Arabidopsis thaliana: one gene and its partner. The protein of the gene in region 2 interacts with the protein of the main gene of each other region in a biochemical or structural test. Each region holds a gene or a part of one and is shown on either strand. Other genes may lie near its edges.

Region 1 (6,249 bases), on a different chromosome or scaffold from region 2:
TTTTTACTTAGTCTAAAGAGAAAAAAACAATTCTCTTTTAGAAAAGCTTTAAATAGTAATGTTCTAGAATTTGGGAGGGGGACACCAACTTATGGACAATCTTTGAGTTTATATCACTTTTTTGTCAACGAACTTATGTTAATATAGGGTATGTATACACATTATATATACCTATAACCCTAGAAGACTGCAAACACAGAGTAGGCTCCCAAATCTATAATATGAGTGTGATAGACTAATAAATCAGTTAGGCCAAATGGTTGAGACATCAAAGTATTTGACACAATCAACTCATTGCTCTATAGTCTATATACCAAATAAGTTCTTACATTGAACATTGATGAAGTTAAAGTAGAAAACACCACATAATTGACAGCCTAAGAACCCTAATCACGTTCGGAGCATTTGTCCGTTAAATGTCGAAATAGCATGCATTGTAACAAAATGGACCCAATATTATTACAATGATAATTCTTATCCTCTCTTTTGATCTGTCTCTTGTCGAATAGGAAGTAATCACTATTAAGATTTGTCACCTTCTTTTGAGTTATCTTTGTCTTCTTGCTTAAAAGCATCATATAGAAGAACATAATAATGGAGAAGCCACATGGTCCAACTATGGCCTAGGGAAACCATCACGTTTCTAGATTTGAGGATAGGGTGCAACAAAACTTTATGTTTCTTCTCTCATCTTTGAGATTACGATTTGGATACTGGTTAGTCTATTTTGGGTCGGGTTTTTTTATTGATGTGGATTTTTTTGATAGATACAACTCATATTTCTTTTCATAATTAGGAAATTTTTGAATATTTATAGTGTAAACATGAGCAACTCTTTGATGATAACTGTGGCGTATCCACAAAATGTAAATCATACAAGTCACTAAGTCGACATTCTTCTGTAAAGTATATTAGCTTTTGAACAAGAATTAACCTTGAAAACCAAAATAATTTGTTATCATTTCAGAAGCTATAACTATTTTGAGTTTGTTCTAATCAAATCTTATTTTATTTTATTTTTCCAATCTTACTTAAGGACCAAAATTTGAACTTCCAAGTGATATACTAATCCTTCAAAACTGGCTTTGGACATTCATAGAGAGACTATAGACCAAATCACCAAATATCTTGGATTTATGGAAAAGTATATGAAGAAAAACCAAAAACCAAAAATCTCAAAATCCTAATCCATTCTATTATTTGTTGATGATGACTGCAAATTTCTTGTATGATGAATTTTAATGGAATAGTTGGGTTCCACAAAATCAAACCTTTTCTATTAATATAAAAAAAATCTCTAAGGACTTTTAAGGTTTATTTAATTAAGGAAACCTATATAGACCTAAATTTTTTACATGTAAAGAATGTATTGATGACATCTAAACGAGGTAGATATAACTGTTCCGTACATAACTAACTTATAACACTTCTCTCAAGTCTCGAGTATATATATATATACACAAAGTGAGAGACTTGAGACAGAGCACTGAACTAACTTGCAACTCTGTTTTTTCAACTTCTACCAGAAAAAGAGAAAAAGAAGCAAAAGATACTTCAATGGCGCAAACTACTGTCACTGTAGTCGCGACCAAACGCGATGCTCTTGATCCTTACATCAAGATTCTTCAGAATCGATCAAACGACATCGATGTCTCCTTCTCTTCTTACCTCAAACCAGACAACAACGAACAACAACAAAAGGAGAATGAAGATACTGAGCTAAGTATCTTCGAAGCTCGAAGTTACTTTAGCGAAAACGGAAGCAACGATAGTCGATGCCAGACGAGGAATCTAAGTGGTCCAAGATTTTCTTCGGTCGCATCTGCAAAAGTGTCTTCTTTTACCGTGGGACAAACGGCATCCTCTGAAGCTAGCTGGAACAGCCAAACCGGTTTGCTCTCTAACAAAAACCGCCAAGGATCGGACAGAGATGGACGTAGAAGCAGCAAGAAAGGACCAAGATGGTTTTTTAGACGCAGGGCTTGTCCATGTTCTAGCTCCAAGTCCGTTCAGGTCCAAGAATCCAAACCAAGAATCGCAGTGCCCAAAACCGGTTCTGACCGAATCGTCTCGAACCGAATAGTTCATAGTCATCAGACGATATCTTCACCTGAGCCAATAAGATTAACGATCCCTTCAAACACTGTGACTCGGTCCATCGATTACACTGCAAACAAAGAAGCTAGAGCTCCAGTTAGTAATTTTAGCTTCCCAACTCTAAACGAAACTTCACAATTATCAGAAAATCCCAAGAATCCGGTTTTGAATCATATTAAACCGGTACGAATTGAACCGGCTCTGCTTCCGATTAAACCGGTTCTGAATCCTACGAGTCCCAAGGGAGTCATCATAGACGAAGAAGCCACAAGCGACGCAAGCTCCGATCTTTTTGAGATAGAGAGCTTCTCTACTCAAACCGCAGCTCGTCCATGGGCTCCACCAGTACGGGACTCGATGGAAGAGACCGTGTCTGAGTACGGTTACGAGCCAAGCGAAGCAAGTGTTACTTGGAGCGTTATGACCGCCGAGCCGGCCTCGGCCGTTGCAGCTAACTTCTCAAGAATTGCCTTGTCGTCATCGTCTACAGCATTTAGTGGTTACGATAAGAAGAGAACCGGTTTGTTGAACTGTCATTGTGAGAAGGCGGTTATGGTTAACGGCGATAAGCGTTTAGTGCAACCGGTTAAGAGCGTTGGTGTTCAAAACGACGTCGCGGGAAAGGTGTTGTGCAACAATGGCAGTTCTAAACTAAGCGTGACGAGTAGACCAAGGCAATGATGGATACCAAATCTTTGTTCTTGGTTTAGATCCGGTTTTCTCCAGTTATCTTGGTGTGTTTTGGATGCTTCTCGTGTAAAATTGCTCTGTTTTTTCTTCTTCTTTTTTTTGGTTAATATAACTTGTGTAATGATTAATGAAGATTATGGTTTGTGAAGTAAACAAAATCAATGTGTCCTGTATTTATCACAATATTGATCACATTTTTTTGTAATAACCGGAGTAAATCCCGGAGTGAAACCCAAACTAATCCTCAATACTTGTATGTTGTATTTAAGGCGTCTATAGTCAAGAAATAGATTCGTAGCCTTGACCCACATAGCGAATCCTCTATCCACTCGAACAAACCAATGGACCACAAAACACTTGGTTATACGATTTCTTTCTTTAGAAACCTCATCCACTACTTCTTTGAGGTCCCATGGAAACATCAATCTTCAAAGATTGTAGGCGGGCTGAATTGAGCAAAAGAAGATGCCCCATGTGTCTTTGTTGTAGGTACATTCAGAAAACAAGTGGTTCTTGGATTCAGGTGCATTACAGAGGAGACAAAAATTTCAAGAATATTCATGCCCCAATTCCTTAATCTATCACGAGTTGGGAACTTGGGAGATGATTCCAAGCCGTTACCCAAGAGATAATAAATGCATGCATAGGAATATAAACAACTTTATGCAATAAACAGACTGTAGTATTGGTCATCGATTTAGTTTTGTTTATTTGTTAAAAACATAATCCAGCATGTGTTTTTATCACATAAAACCAAAAAGAAAAATTCTCAGTTGATGAAGACGTTTAATTTCTGATTAGTCTTTCGTTTACTAAAAGCTTTATCTTTTAATTTGAATGCTTTTTATTTTGTTAAAGAGTTTACCATTGAAAGTTTGATTTCTTTTTTGGGGATATAACTTGTAAATATGAAGTCAAGAGTTAGGCTCGTAGGTGAAGTGAAGATGGTGCTAATAGCATAAATGGTTCGTCTCAAAAAGACTTTTCCGTTGCGTGCACGAAGTATATAGACGGTCCTTTAGGATTAAGGCAAATTATAGTTTGGTCAATTGACATTATTTTCAACAATGTATACGTTATATACATTCGTATATCATAGCATTTAAAGTTAATTAGCTCCTCTCTTCCCTTAGATAGCTAGATGGATTAGGTCTAAATATTTGGGAAAATGACTTCCCTTTTGAAGTTACGTATATATCCAAGTTAACCAAATTAATCATGAATCCATGACTTAGGATTAATTATGTCTTTCTCAAAAGTCTGATTTAAGGTTTAGTTTCTTGCTTGAAAGCATTAATAAGTCAAGAGTAAGCCATTAAAAAATGTTCCATAGCTTAAAAGCAAACTAGACTTGAAAATATAAATACTAATATCGTATGTAACTTGAACTTCACTACACGAAACCTCAATCATAAATACACATTAGCTCCAAAACCACAACACTGCACATGAAAACTAAACACACGTACACAAGAAACCCCAAAACATTTTGCCTAGAAAGTTGTTTAAATTACCTCTTAAACCTTAAGAAATCATATCCAGAAACTCAATGGATCAACAAGGGATGGTCAAGAAAAGACTAGCCGTTCTCGTCGGCTGCAACTACCCTAACACAAGGAACGAGCTTCACGGTTGCATCAATGATGTTCTAGCCATGAAAGAAACTATTTTGTCACGTTTCGGATTCAAACAAGACGACATTGAGGTGCTAACGGACGAGCCAGAATCAAAGGTAAAGCCGACAGGTGCCAACATCAAGGCTGCTCTACGTAGGATGGTGGATAAAGCTCAAGCCGGATCTGGAGACATCTTGTTCTTCCACTACAGTGGCCATGGAACTCGTATTCCTTCGGTTAAATCTGCTCATCCTTTTAAACAAGACGAAGCTATTGTTCCTTGTGATTTCAATCTCATCACAGATGTTGATTTCCGAGAATTGGTCAATCAACTTCCTAAAGGAACAAGCTTTACCATGATCTCTGATTCTTGCCATAGTGGTGGTCTCATCGACAAGGAGAAAGAACAGATCGGACCCTCTTCGGTCTCCAGCAACATATCTCCGGCTATTGAGACAACGAACAAGACTATAACATCACGTGCCTTGCCCTTCAAGGCAGTCCTTGACCACTTGAGTTCTCTCACCGGAATTACAACTTCCGACATCGGCACACATCTACTTGAGCTCTTTGGCCGCGATGCTGGTCTTAAGTTTCGGTTACCGGCAATGGATCTAATGGATCTTTTGGAGACTATGACGGCCCGTGAAAAACACGTGGACTCAGGGATATTGATGAGCGGGTGTCAGGCGGATGAGACGTCTGCTGACGTCGGCGTTGGGAACGGGAAAGCGTACGGAGCGTTTAGCAACGCGATTCAAAGGGTGTTGAACGAAAATGAAGGTGCCATGAAGAACAAGCAACTAGTGATGATGGCAAGGGATGTGCTTGAGAGACTAGGGTTTCATCAACACCCTTGTCTCTACTGCAGCGACCAGAACGCAGACGCGACGTTCCTTTCTCAACCTTGAATTTTAAACGTTTGCGTTGTTTTCTTTTATTTGTTTTATCACGTTTGCCTTTGGGGTTGTTGTAAATTGTTAACTGGTGGAATGTGTGTATTTTCTATTCTCTGTGGTGTACTCTAAAAGGAAAAAGGACATATAAAACTTGTTTAATAACATTTATCTTTTTTAATGGTACAAAAAGGTTTAATTAAAGCTTTTCTAGAGAATGTACTAATTTAGTTACCAAGTCAGCAGTATTGGAGCTAGAAGAACCAACCTCTTGGGTTGAAGAAATGGCAGCACCAGTCATTTTGTGCTGCCATTTTTCAGTAGGTCCCCACAAGAGTTTAACCCTCTGGCCTTTGATGTCAGTCCAGGAGGAGAGCTCAAGCATGGCCTTCTCAGCAGCTAGACGGGTAGTGTAAGTGAGGAAGGCACAGGTGCCTCCTCCTCGGTGGGGGAAGATAACAATAGATTCGATTTCACCATAGGGGCAGAAATGGTCTCGGATGTCCTGCTCGAGGACACTGGAGTTAATAAGTCTACGGATGTAAAGAGTTTTAATACTTTGATCCTCTGGTGGTTTCAAAGGGCCCGTGTTACAAGCTCTTGCAAGCACCTCGAGTACAAATGGGTTTTCTAACCTGCGGTGAAGAAAAATACATGAAACACACAAACAAACAAAGACTCGAGAATATATATACATCTATATATGTATGTAGAATAGCTTACCCAGAACGACCATGACAATCTAAGCCTCTGTTGATCTCATGGCGGTATAGACACATGGTACCTCTTGTACACTGGCGACCAGCGTCGAATAAAGGACAAATTGGTATGCAGTCTAGTTTCCTACTTTTATCCTCAATTTGGGCCATAAAAAACTACATTGAAGACAAACAATCAATATATCACCAGACCACGTAGATACAAGCAACTAGACGAAATTGGTAGCGCTA
Region 2 (10,576 bases):
CAAGGTTGAGAGCGAGAGAGAAAACTTGAGTAAGCATGGAGATCAAAGTGAAGACTCTGACGGAAAAACAAATAGACATTGAGATTGAGCTAACGGACACGATTGAGCGGATCAAAGAACGAATCGAAGAGAAAGAAGGCATTCCTCCTGTTCATCAAAGGATCGTCTACACTGGGAAACAACTTGCTGATGATTTAACCGCCAAACATTACAACCTAGAACGTGGTAGTGTTCTTCATCTTGTTCTTGCCCTTAGAGGTGGTTGTTGCTAATCTAGGTTTGGTTACAATAAGACTAGCTAGGTTTATGTCAATTGTTTTGGTTTTCTAATTTTTTTCTTTCTTTCTTTTCTTCTGTTTGATTTGCTTATGTTATATTGGTTGCTTTTGGTTCTATGAAGATTCTGAACTTTGACCTAGTTTTAGAGGAGTGTTTCTTTATTGTGTTTTAATTGAATTTTTGTAGGATTCAATTAATAAGAAACATATAAATCTCACATATCATGTGCACACCAAAATCTTGATATACTCTTCAATCATATAATGAAAAAAAAACATATATCATTACAGAAAACTCAACTCTTAAGAGGTTACAAAATAGGATAAATTGAACCAAAACCGGACCCCAAAAAGAAAACAAAAAAATGATCAAATATTATTGATTCATGCATGACACATACATTCTTTACATCTTGGGTAACGGTAAACGCTGCGTCCATTAGGTCTAGCGAATACATGTTTCGTCTGTCTAATCGCTTTTCTTACTCTTTTCTCAAACACGTTCCACTCAATCGTACTGTTCTTCAACAATATGTCCGAAAGTCTCCGTTTGTTCGGTCTTATCGTCGGCAATTTCCCTCCTCCGTAATAAATCCGATAACCCGATACAAGAGATGATAACTGACTCCCTGAATCCGTCATCGCAAAAGCGTCTGCTGCAGCACAAGCGATGAAATCTAATGCCGCTAGCTACACATAAACCAAAGGAAAAAAAGATTAATACAAAATTGGTTTTTACTTAGGATTTGATGGTTTGTCTATGTTTAAGTTTTACCTGAGATGAAAAGTTTTTGAATGGTTGTAGTTCGGATTCTGTTAGTAACTTTTCTTTGGTGACTAGATTCGGGTATAAGCTAGTTAACACGGCTAAACGTTTTGATCCTCCATATATGTTTGCACCAGCTACGAAAACTCGGGTTTCGCGGTTGAAGCCAAGAGCCGCGAGCATAAGCACGGCTTCTTCGGGTGTTAGTGGACAAAGTCCTTCTGTCCTCAAAACATCCGCAGATCGGAATCTGAATAAAGAAAAGAAACAAAAACAGAGCAAATTAGGTTTAGAATCGAAGACAAGGAAGCTTGAGTTTGAAGTAAAAGGAACAAACTTTTTTTTTCTGGTTAAAGTTGAAAGAGATGGAAAGTGTTTTTGGCGGTAAGAATCCAACTCTTTCTGTTCTGTTTCACCTCCTCCGAAGTAACATAGAGAATGAGCCACCATGTCGATTTCAAACCGTAAATGGAGAGCAAGGTACTTAGAAGAAGAAGAAGAAGCCGCCTCCTCCTGCACCGGAGAATCAGACTTATTGTCCAAGATTAAGGAAGCATATTTTGGACCGAGGAGATGTAGATCAAGTGGTGCAACGTAAGATCCACTGCCCCGTAATCTCTTCACGAGCAATGCCGCAGTTTCTTGTATCCTCGGGACAAAGTTTAGCGCATGAAAGTTACATCTGCACCGAAGCCTCTACTTCCAAAAAGGTTTAGATAAAGAAGCTATAATCAGAGATATATAGAAGCGCGTAGAGTAAAAAAAATGTCTACCTGTAACTCAAACGGTAATGGATCAAAGGCTAAGCGGTTTCCGAATCCGACAAAATGGATTACTCTGTTCTTGAGTAGTATAGGGAGAATGTGTGTCATATAAAAGTCTGGTTTGGCTTCTTTCATCACTTCTATATCTGTCACCTTAAGAGGTAAAAGTGACAAAACATGAACAAAAAGAGAAGAAAGATGAGACTGTTCGCGTCAAGATTTGGGGAGAAATGTATAACTCACGACGCTACCGATTTCTTCAAGATTAAGAGATTGAAGCTCTTTTGGTAGCTCCTTTACTATCCGAATATCGGGCGACAAGTACTCCATAAAATGTTCCTCTTGGTAGATATCTCCAAACTGACTATATATGAAGTATTAATTAAAGTTCAATACATCGTTACAAATGTAAAAACCTCAAAAATGGCTAGAAAATGAGAGATAGAGGACGGAGAGCTTACAATAGTTACCTTGCATCTGTCCAAACGTCACTTAACATGAATTTGGGAATGACGAGAGCCGCATTGAGCAATCGAGCTACAACAACAATGTTACATACCTATGACGAAATCCATTGGTTATAGACTTATAGTCACTAGAGAATTTGAAAGATAAATTTGAAGGACAAGGAGAAGAAAACTTACAGCAACTCTTTGCTGATTAATCCCTCCGTTTGCAGTTACCATAATATATCCATTTTTGCCATCTAAAAAATCAGGCAAGTTAAACTCCATAGGAAACAAGCTTTAACCTAATTTTATAAAGAGAGAGATTGAATGAGACCGTCAGGAGTCAAAGAACGTTGATCCGCACAAGGCTTCCACGCCGAAGCTTGTTCCTTCGGCTCCTGCCATAAGTCTTTGGTCTCAAGTTTGTTCTGCTCAAAATCAAAACCATTACAATAACGGTTATCACGCATTCCCTATTAAAAAGAACAAAACAATGTTACTGAGAATTAGGAAGGATAAGATTGGTTTGTGAAGAATATATTTACCTCTGCCAAAGCATCAGTAGCCAAACTCAACATTCTACCATATGTTCCATTATATTTCATCTTCTGTTTTTCAAACTTTTTACGCTCTTCATTCTGATTCACACAACAAAAAGTTTAGATCAAATGAAACTTTAAGCACAAAACACAACTCTTCATATAGTCAATTACCACCATATAATAATTCAGTTATGCAACACAATATTTTATTTCAACTAAGATATCATTTTTCTTATCTTCTCTGTTTTTATAAATAAAAAGCTTTTTTTGTTGTATGTGAAAATGAGTGTAGCGCAAGAAACGTCAGTAATCAAGGAAACATGTCAATGAAGATTACGATCATTGGACCTGTGCAGAAACATGTTTTGGGTTCTCAGAGAGTCCTCTTCGAAGCCAGACCCGACCTTCGTGAAGGCGAGAGAGCATGAACCAATTAACGAGGCAAAAGAAACCCAAAATCGCCATAACGCCAATAGCTGTTTTAGCCGTTCTTTGATCGTTACAAGCTTGGATTCTCTTCCTCTTGCATCGCTTTATCGTTTGTTTTGGATTCGGGTCTCCAGCAAAGACGTAGAACCTGGTCGGACCGAGACGCGGCGAATGAGGCGGTGAACATCCGTAGACCCCAAGATCACGTGACTCGGGTCTCTCTTCGTCGTTAGGTCTTTCTTGTCCCATGATCAACAAAAGTCTCCTTTTCTTGGTCTCTCTCTCCTCTCTGTCTCTGAATTGACAAAAAAGGGAGAGAGAGAGAGACTAAACTAAAGGATGAAAGAAATTTCCATAAATAAGAAAGCGAAAGCTTTGCCGAATTTAACGAAGATAGTGAGAGAGAGAGAGAGAGAGAGAGATTATTTGAATTTCAGTGTGTCTGTTATTCTCTTCGTTAGAAAACTTCGAACATCATTAACGTTTAATGTTAGTCCTATAGTTTAGCTATTAACAGAAACAACCTTAGTGTTTTTTATTTCTTCTTATAAATATCTTTAATTTATCACAATTTAACATTCCACCAAGGCACCACTTGAAATATCATTTCACTTGCTAAGTTAGGATCTATAAACAGTTAACATACATGTAAAAGTTATGTGTTGTTTTGCTTTCAAGAAGCAAATAATAGACCCGTTAACAAAGCAACCTACCGGTATAATTTGATATGAAAATGACCTTGATGTATCTCTAGAACCTACCAGCATTAGGTTTTACTATTTTCTTTTAATAGGGTTTACTGGTAAGCAAAAGGTGGTTTAACAGTTAACCTCACAAGTAACGATATGTTGATTTTAGTAGCTTAAGATTTTCCTAATAGAAACCAAAAGAACTTTGTATTAAATTTGAATTCTGACTTTAGAACTTTGTATTAAAATTAGAATCTGACCTTGATGTGTATATAGAGCCTACCAGGACTTTTAGTGTGTTGAAACAATAATTAGCCTTAAACTAAATTTGTACTTTAAAAACATCATAAAAATTCAAGTAACGCATATGTTGACAAAAAGTAGCTTACGATTTTCCTAATAGACCCGCAAAGGACTTTTTTCTAGACAGACTCCGACTTTAGATCTTTGTAGTAAATTTAGACCATGTAGTATAATTATCTTATATGTTGAAGAAACACGAGAGAAATAATATTATAATTATCTTATATGTTGAAGAAACACGAGAGGAATCAACTTAATCGAAATGTTACGGACACGTAATATTCAAGATAAAACAAGACTGATGCGAAATTCCAAGGAAGGCAGAAAAGCAAAGGAATGGTGGTTAGTCGAGAGACTATTGAGCCCCGAGTTCAAGAAGTAGAGTGTGGCTGAGAGAGTCTGAACCAGGTCCAGTGAATTGGATCGGACCTGCAAGTCGATAACATTCCCGCAAAGGGATTAGAATCTGAAACACAACAGATGGTTTGTCAAAAAAAGACAAGAAACATGCAACAAACCTGGGCTGATGTATCGGTTCTTCAATGCCCATTCTTCACGCAGTGATGCGAATTTCTTAAATGGTGCACCTGCAGAGCTCAAAAAGACAGTCAGCAAGACAATCTAACCGCCAATCGAAAACTATGAAAAGGGAAGGGAATCAAAGGGTCACCTTCAAGTTCCACCATTGCTTTCTTGATCACAGGCTTGAACTTACCTGCAAGTTGAAATCAACTCTGATTTTTTAATATCTAGATTTCAAAATGTGTCTTAGTAAGCTTTATTGATTTATATTTCTGTACCGTGTCTCCTCTCGACATCCATCAAGGCTGTGAGAGCAGTCCCACCTACAGTCCATTCTTCCACAGGAGCAGCCAAGTTCCCAACCTGCGCCAATAAGTTAACTCATCTCATTCTAAGCACATACTAGTTTACCAAAGGCTATTATGATCACAGATGGAAAACAGATTTTAGTGGAAATGGTGGAGTACAAACCGAAGAAATTAGTCCGGTCTTCCCACTGTTGAGGAGTACTCCAGCGCCATAACCAAGTGCATAACAGTATGTGGCATCAAAATTTGTGGGCAAGCCGCATCTTCCTTCATACCTGTATTCAAGTTGATTACAAACCATAAATCAAGCTTGTATTATTCACATCAATAAATAAGCAATGTATTATATAACGATTTGGTTAACTGAAAGAACAAATTGCGTAACTTACCCGAAGAAATGTGACTGTCCCATGAATTGTCCCTTGTATGCACCAGCTTGCTTTCTTTTCTCCAATTCAGTTTCAACCATTTGAATAAGCATCTTCTCAGTCTCAATCTTAGCAACCTATTGAGATGAGGACATGGTATTATTAATAATGATTTGTGAGAGATGAAGCTAACTGCATTGTGGTGGAAATTTAGTACGAGGAGACAGGACCATGATCAATTACCTGGACATTTCCGTGTGGGTCTCTCTCAAGCATCAGCTGTTCCTGAATTGCTTCAGGCAGAAGATCAAACAGCTTCAGGGATTGCTCGGTGAGCTTCTTCTTCCACAAACCATTTTCATCGACAACCTCATTTGCCAGAATTTCATTCAGTTCAGCAATGAGCTCTTGGACCTGAGAAGTCATGAAATAAAATTAATCATCAGTTAAGAAGAACAATTATATTAATCGGTTTAAAAGTAGTAGATTCTATTTTTTTACAATGACAACACACCTCAGGAATAAAGTCGATCAGACCTTCTGGAATCAGTATGACACCGTAGTTGTAACCAAGTTCAGCACGTTTGCAGATAACATCCACCATGTAGTCTGTGACATTCTTCAAAGTCTGCTTCTGGGCAGAAACCTGCAAAAAAGTATTTCCAGATCAAAGTTGAGTAAATATAAACTGATCTAATGAGGCATGTGTGAGGTCTCTCTGAACCAATAACCCCATATTGAAATGAATAATTTGCTTCAATGGAAAAGTGTCACAAATATGAATCTGATTTGCAGTCTAATTCTATCATCTACACGATTAAGATTCAGATATCTTTACGGTAATTTGAATTGAAGTCAACCAAAAACGTTACCTCTTCTCCAATAATGGTTATGTTTGGGTGAGTTTGTAAAGCACACTCAAGCGTAATGTGGGAAGCAGCACGACCCATAAGTCTTACAACTGCAATGAAAATGTGATACAGCATGTAAACAAATAGGGCACAATAGAAATGATGCAACTTCAAGAAATTTTGTTAAACATTTACTTACAATGATAGTACTTTCCAGTCGACCTTGCATCAATCATGACGTTTCCGATCATTTCAGAGTAAATCTGCATAGGCATTAAAATGTTTTTAATAGGCTTTTTCCAACATAATTCTTCTGGTGGAACAAGAAATTAGATTCTTGACGAGGAATTGAAACGAGAGCAAAGGATTGGTTATGTAATAACTTATGTAACAATTGATAAAAAAAAAAAAAATGATCAAAACGGAATATCACCTTGCAAGCTGTATCAAACCCAAAACTAGTAGGAACCTCTTTGCATTTCAAATCACCATCAATGGTCTTGGGGCACCCAATGACTCGGGTTTTCAAGTTCTTACTCCTAATTATACAAGTAGATAATAAGTCAAATGCTGAATCAGCAAATATTAAAGATTCTGGTCACATGGATCTTCAAGAACAACTACTTTCGCCTAAGATAAATAAGTTTCAACATAACAGATTCAACTGCAAGGTTTACCTGAAGTTTTCAGCAAGAAGGCAAGCATTGGTGTTGGAATCATCTCCACCGATAACCACCAACCCATCCAAATCAAGCTTCTTTGCTGTTTCTTCAGCTTGTTTAAACTGCACATGAGAGGCATATATAATTACTCACTGCACGAAATAGAGGCTTTGGAAGCAGTAACAAATATCTTTTCAAACCACAAAAAAATATTCAACCTGGTCAGGTGTTTCAATCTTGTCTCTTCCACTGCAGATCATGTCAAAACCACCCTGTTGAGACCAAAAAAAGAATTATAACCACATCGACTTAAAAAGACAAGTATATTTAACCAAGGACTAATGCTCCACATCTAGTGGAGTGTAAATTCAAATCTTGTGGAAGGATCTGAATCCAAGTACCTGGTTTCTGTAAGGCTGAATATATTCAGCATTCAACTCAACATATTTGCATTTCATGATACCAGCTGGACCACCCTTGAACCCGTAAAATGTGCTACCTTTCGCACGCTCTTGCAGGTAATCTAACACGCCGAAAACAAAATCAAGAGTGGAACAATGTCAGCAACTATTCTACAAAAAAAAAAAAAAAAACATCATTTGACGTAAAAATCAAACCCTTACCAAACAGTCCAGAAATAACATTGTGCCCACCAGGTGCCTGACCTCCAGACAAAACAACACCAATCTTCAATTTCGGTGCCGACGAAGGTGCATCCTGATCTGGAACCACTGCTACTGATGGCTGGCCATATAGACCCGGAAACAACTTCGCTATCTCATCTACAACCACATAAACCAAAACACTAAATTCTCCAAAACTCTTCTAAATAATCTATAAACCACAGATCTATAAGAGCATCCATTCTCAAACTACACGAGAGCATAATACACACATAATCACAATTAAACTACTTCAATTTAGCTTAATAAAATCATCTAGTTCCTCAATTTTTCTCACCAAACTAACAAGATCTAGATCAGACTGATAAAAAAACTCAAATCGCGAGTATCTAACCTGGATTCCCGGCGGCGGAACTAGCGGGACCTTCGACGATTTTGAAAGCTCCTTTGAGAACAGAAGGCAAAGGAAGAGTGTTGTTAATACGGCTTGATTGAACTTCACTGTAAACCGAAGCACGTCCTTTCGCAGGAGCATTCTCCGGAGATCCGACGGCGGTGAGATCTCGTGTAACGGCGAGAGCAGGGGCCATTGCTCTGTGGGTGTTGTTTCGCTTTTCACCTAACTAGTTTACTTTCGTTTCGAACCTAACTTTTTTCTTCCCTCCTTTCGTTCACTCGTCGTCAATGGAGTTCACTTCGAGGTCTCCGCATTGGGGTTGGTGTGAATATATACTCTGACCCAAGGGTTTAATAGTCAATTCCTTTATTAATTTACTCATCCTACAAGGCAAAGGGTATTTTAGGGATATCTTGTATAATGGCCTGTTCTATGATGTTCGGAACTTTAAGGCCCAATTTAATTTTTGGGCTTTTGAGCCTTGAGATTATCGTATCTAGCTAGCTTCTTTTTTGCTGTCTATTTTTACGTTTTGTATGCGACGAGTACACATGCCTTGCGTAGACACCAAACCAAACACAATATAGCCTAGTCTGTTGCATTTTATTATAACGAAATTAGTGTTGTATTAATGAAAATGCATGCGTGTGTATAACTCCATAAGTTTTTAAAAAGACATGTAATTCCATAGTTTACTTTCACCAAAAAATCAATCAAGACATTGAACAGTAAGAAGAAGACGGTATATATGAACGTTTTGTAAGCATAAATCTGAATTTTTTTAAAAAATTAAAACGTTACCATTGAAAGTAAGTATTTTGTTCATAATAAGTCTAGATAAATCCGAATTTCGATAGATATATAGTTTGTAAATTAATACTTGACAAAAAAAAGAACTTTTCAATTAGTGAAAGAAATAACAAGCTCGCATGGGGGTTATTGGGCTAAGATCACTAAAAGAAAAGTAGGTAGTAGTAGCCACCGACCGAAGTATTTCTTTCTGATTTTTTGTTATCAATTATCAATTAATTTCACAAGATACGAGAGAGATAAAGATTGATTTATTTTCTTGTTACTTGATACAAGATTTTTTGTGGCACGAATTATTATAACCTCAACTTTAACCCTTTTCCGAAAAAAGAAAGGTATTATAACCTCAACTATTACAACTTGGAAGTAATTAATCGTATATTGTGTTGTTTTTCGTACATAAAGAGAAAGTACTATCATTTTAAACTTATTTTATTTTAGTTTCACTTCTTAATGAGTTTGGGAATATTTTCTAACTTTAGTTAAATTATATATAATGTATACTTTTCTTACCAAACATTTGATTTAAAGGTTTTTATTGATTTGTTAAACTATGAGGAATATTTTTTCCCTATTATGGAAGAATCCAAAGATAACTTATTGTAATTATATTAGCTGGCCAAGGCCAACCGGTATTATCGAAGAAGCAACCTCATAATGATCAAGATAATTTGACAGAAAAATGATCAGGTTAATCTTCTTCCTTCCCAAAATTAACAAAGTTGATTTATAATCCAAAAAGGACCAAAATCATATACGTATCTTTAGGTTGTGGTTGGTAATCCATGAATTAGAACGATAAACTGATTTTGCGATTCTGTCAATTAGTTATTGATAATTTAATTTATGTTTTGTTATTTCACAATTTATTTGACAAAAGTAAAAGAAAATGATCATCATATATACATCATAAATTTTCAGTCCAGTTAAGAAAAGGAAAGAAAAAACTTCATTTCATTCTAATTTTGAATATTACTCTAAGTCAAAACTATAAGTCAAATTCAAATTCTCTCACTGAAAATAACATATTTTTACTTGATATATATACATCAGACCTACTTGCCAACACCCATAAGAACGAGGAAATAATCATGCAACTCGAAGATGCAAGATGTTGGTGATGAAAATCATCCTCTTGTATATGTTACCATCTACAATATATATAAATAAATTACTCAACATGGAATTTGTCTCCTCATCCTGCTATTATGCAAAATAAGAAAATCTATCTGTCAAATAGTAGAATTACAAGCACAAACGATTTTCTATTTATTGCTTGTACGCATTTTACAATGACTTAGTCATTCCCTATTCATAGTGATTCAAATAAAATGATCAATCATACATAACTAGATAACCAAAAATCCAAAATCAGTATATTGTAATATTGTTATTTGTCGAGATTGATCGTATATTACACATCATCCCTAGCCTTTTTTTTTGCATCTAATGACTCCACAAAGCACCAGCAGATAAAAAAACTCTTCGAGTCTTTACTTGTACGAACCTTATAAACAATTATTCATGTTTTTTTTTAAAAAGGCAAAAGAAATAACCAATAGAATTGTAGAACTAGAGATACAAATGGAAAACACCAAATTTTATCCCATCTCAAAAGCAGGAGAGTAAGGTCCCCCCAATTATATTGCACACACACAAATACAACTTCCCCAAACTCTTTTTCTTTCTAATAAGAAAAATAATTTTTATATTTAGCAACTATTATCTAAATGACCCAATTATGTGATCTTATGACTCTATGATACTTATCTATCGTTTTACTTAAAAAATTATTTAAAAGACTTAACATTTGTT

Evidence for each region. The genes of interacting proteins can lie anywhere in the genome.
Region 1: of the proteins of AT1G12000 (region 2) and MC9, one has a biochemical effect on the other in vitro, tested with the Arabidopsis thaliana proteins (one large-scale study listed by BioGRID).

The regions. Positions count from the first base shown.
Region 1 is NC_003076.8:1,149,557-1,155,805, forward strand, and holds MC9 (metacaspase 9), read left to right. Parts: upstream 1-4,183; 5' UTR 4,184-4,336; coding exon 4,337-5,314; 3' UTR 5,315-5,484; downstream 5,485-6,249. Other genes in the region: PKS4 (phytochrome kinase substrate 4), read left to right, coding at 1,558-2,778; AT5G04210 (CCCH-type zinc fingerfamily protein with RNA-binding domain-containing protein), read right to left, coding at 5,499-5,934, 6,023-6,168. UniProt on the Arabidopsis thaliana protein: Cysteine protease that cleaves specifically after arginine or lysine residues. Does not cleave caspase-specific substrates. Required for proteolytic processing of GRI.
Region 2 is NC_003070.9:4,045,584-4,056,159, forward strand, and holds AT1G12000 (Phosphofructokinase family protein), read right to left. Parts: upstream 8,289-10,576; 5' UTR 8,145-8,288; coding exon 7,949-8,144; intron 7,714-7,948; coding exon 7,555-7,713; intron 7,455-7,554; coding exon 7,333-7,454; intron 7,204-7,332; coding exon 7,150-7,203; intron 7,054-7,149; coding exon 6,947-7,053; intron 6,809-6,946; coding exon 6,703-6,808; intron 6,533-6,702; coding exon 6,469-6,532; intron 6,380-6,468; coding exon 6,291-6,379; intron 6,065-6,290; coding exon 5,933-6,064; intron 5,833-5,932; coding exon 5,662-5,832; intron 5,556-5,661; coding exon 5,440-5,555; intron 5,326-5,439; coding exon 5,214-5,325; intron 5,106-5,213; coding exon 5,021-5,105; intron 4,936-5,020; coding exon 4,891-4,935; intron 4,808-4,890; coding exon 4,739-4,807; intron 4,650-4,738; coding exon 4,576-4,649; 3' UTR 4,313-4,575; downstream 1-4,312. Other genes in the region: RUB3 (ubiquitin-related protein 3), read left to right, coding at 36-272; AT1G11990 (O-fucosyltransferase family protein), read right to left, coding at 663-968, 1,054-1,294, 1,382-1,740, 1,818-1,961, 2,052-2,172, 2,279-2,367, 2,453-2,514, 2,592-2,685 and 2 more. UniProt on the Arabidopsis thaliana protein: Catalytic subunit of pyrophosphate--fructose 6-phosphate 1-phosphotransferase. Catalyzes the phosphorylation of D-fructose 6-phosphate, the first committing step of glycolysis.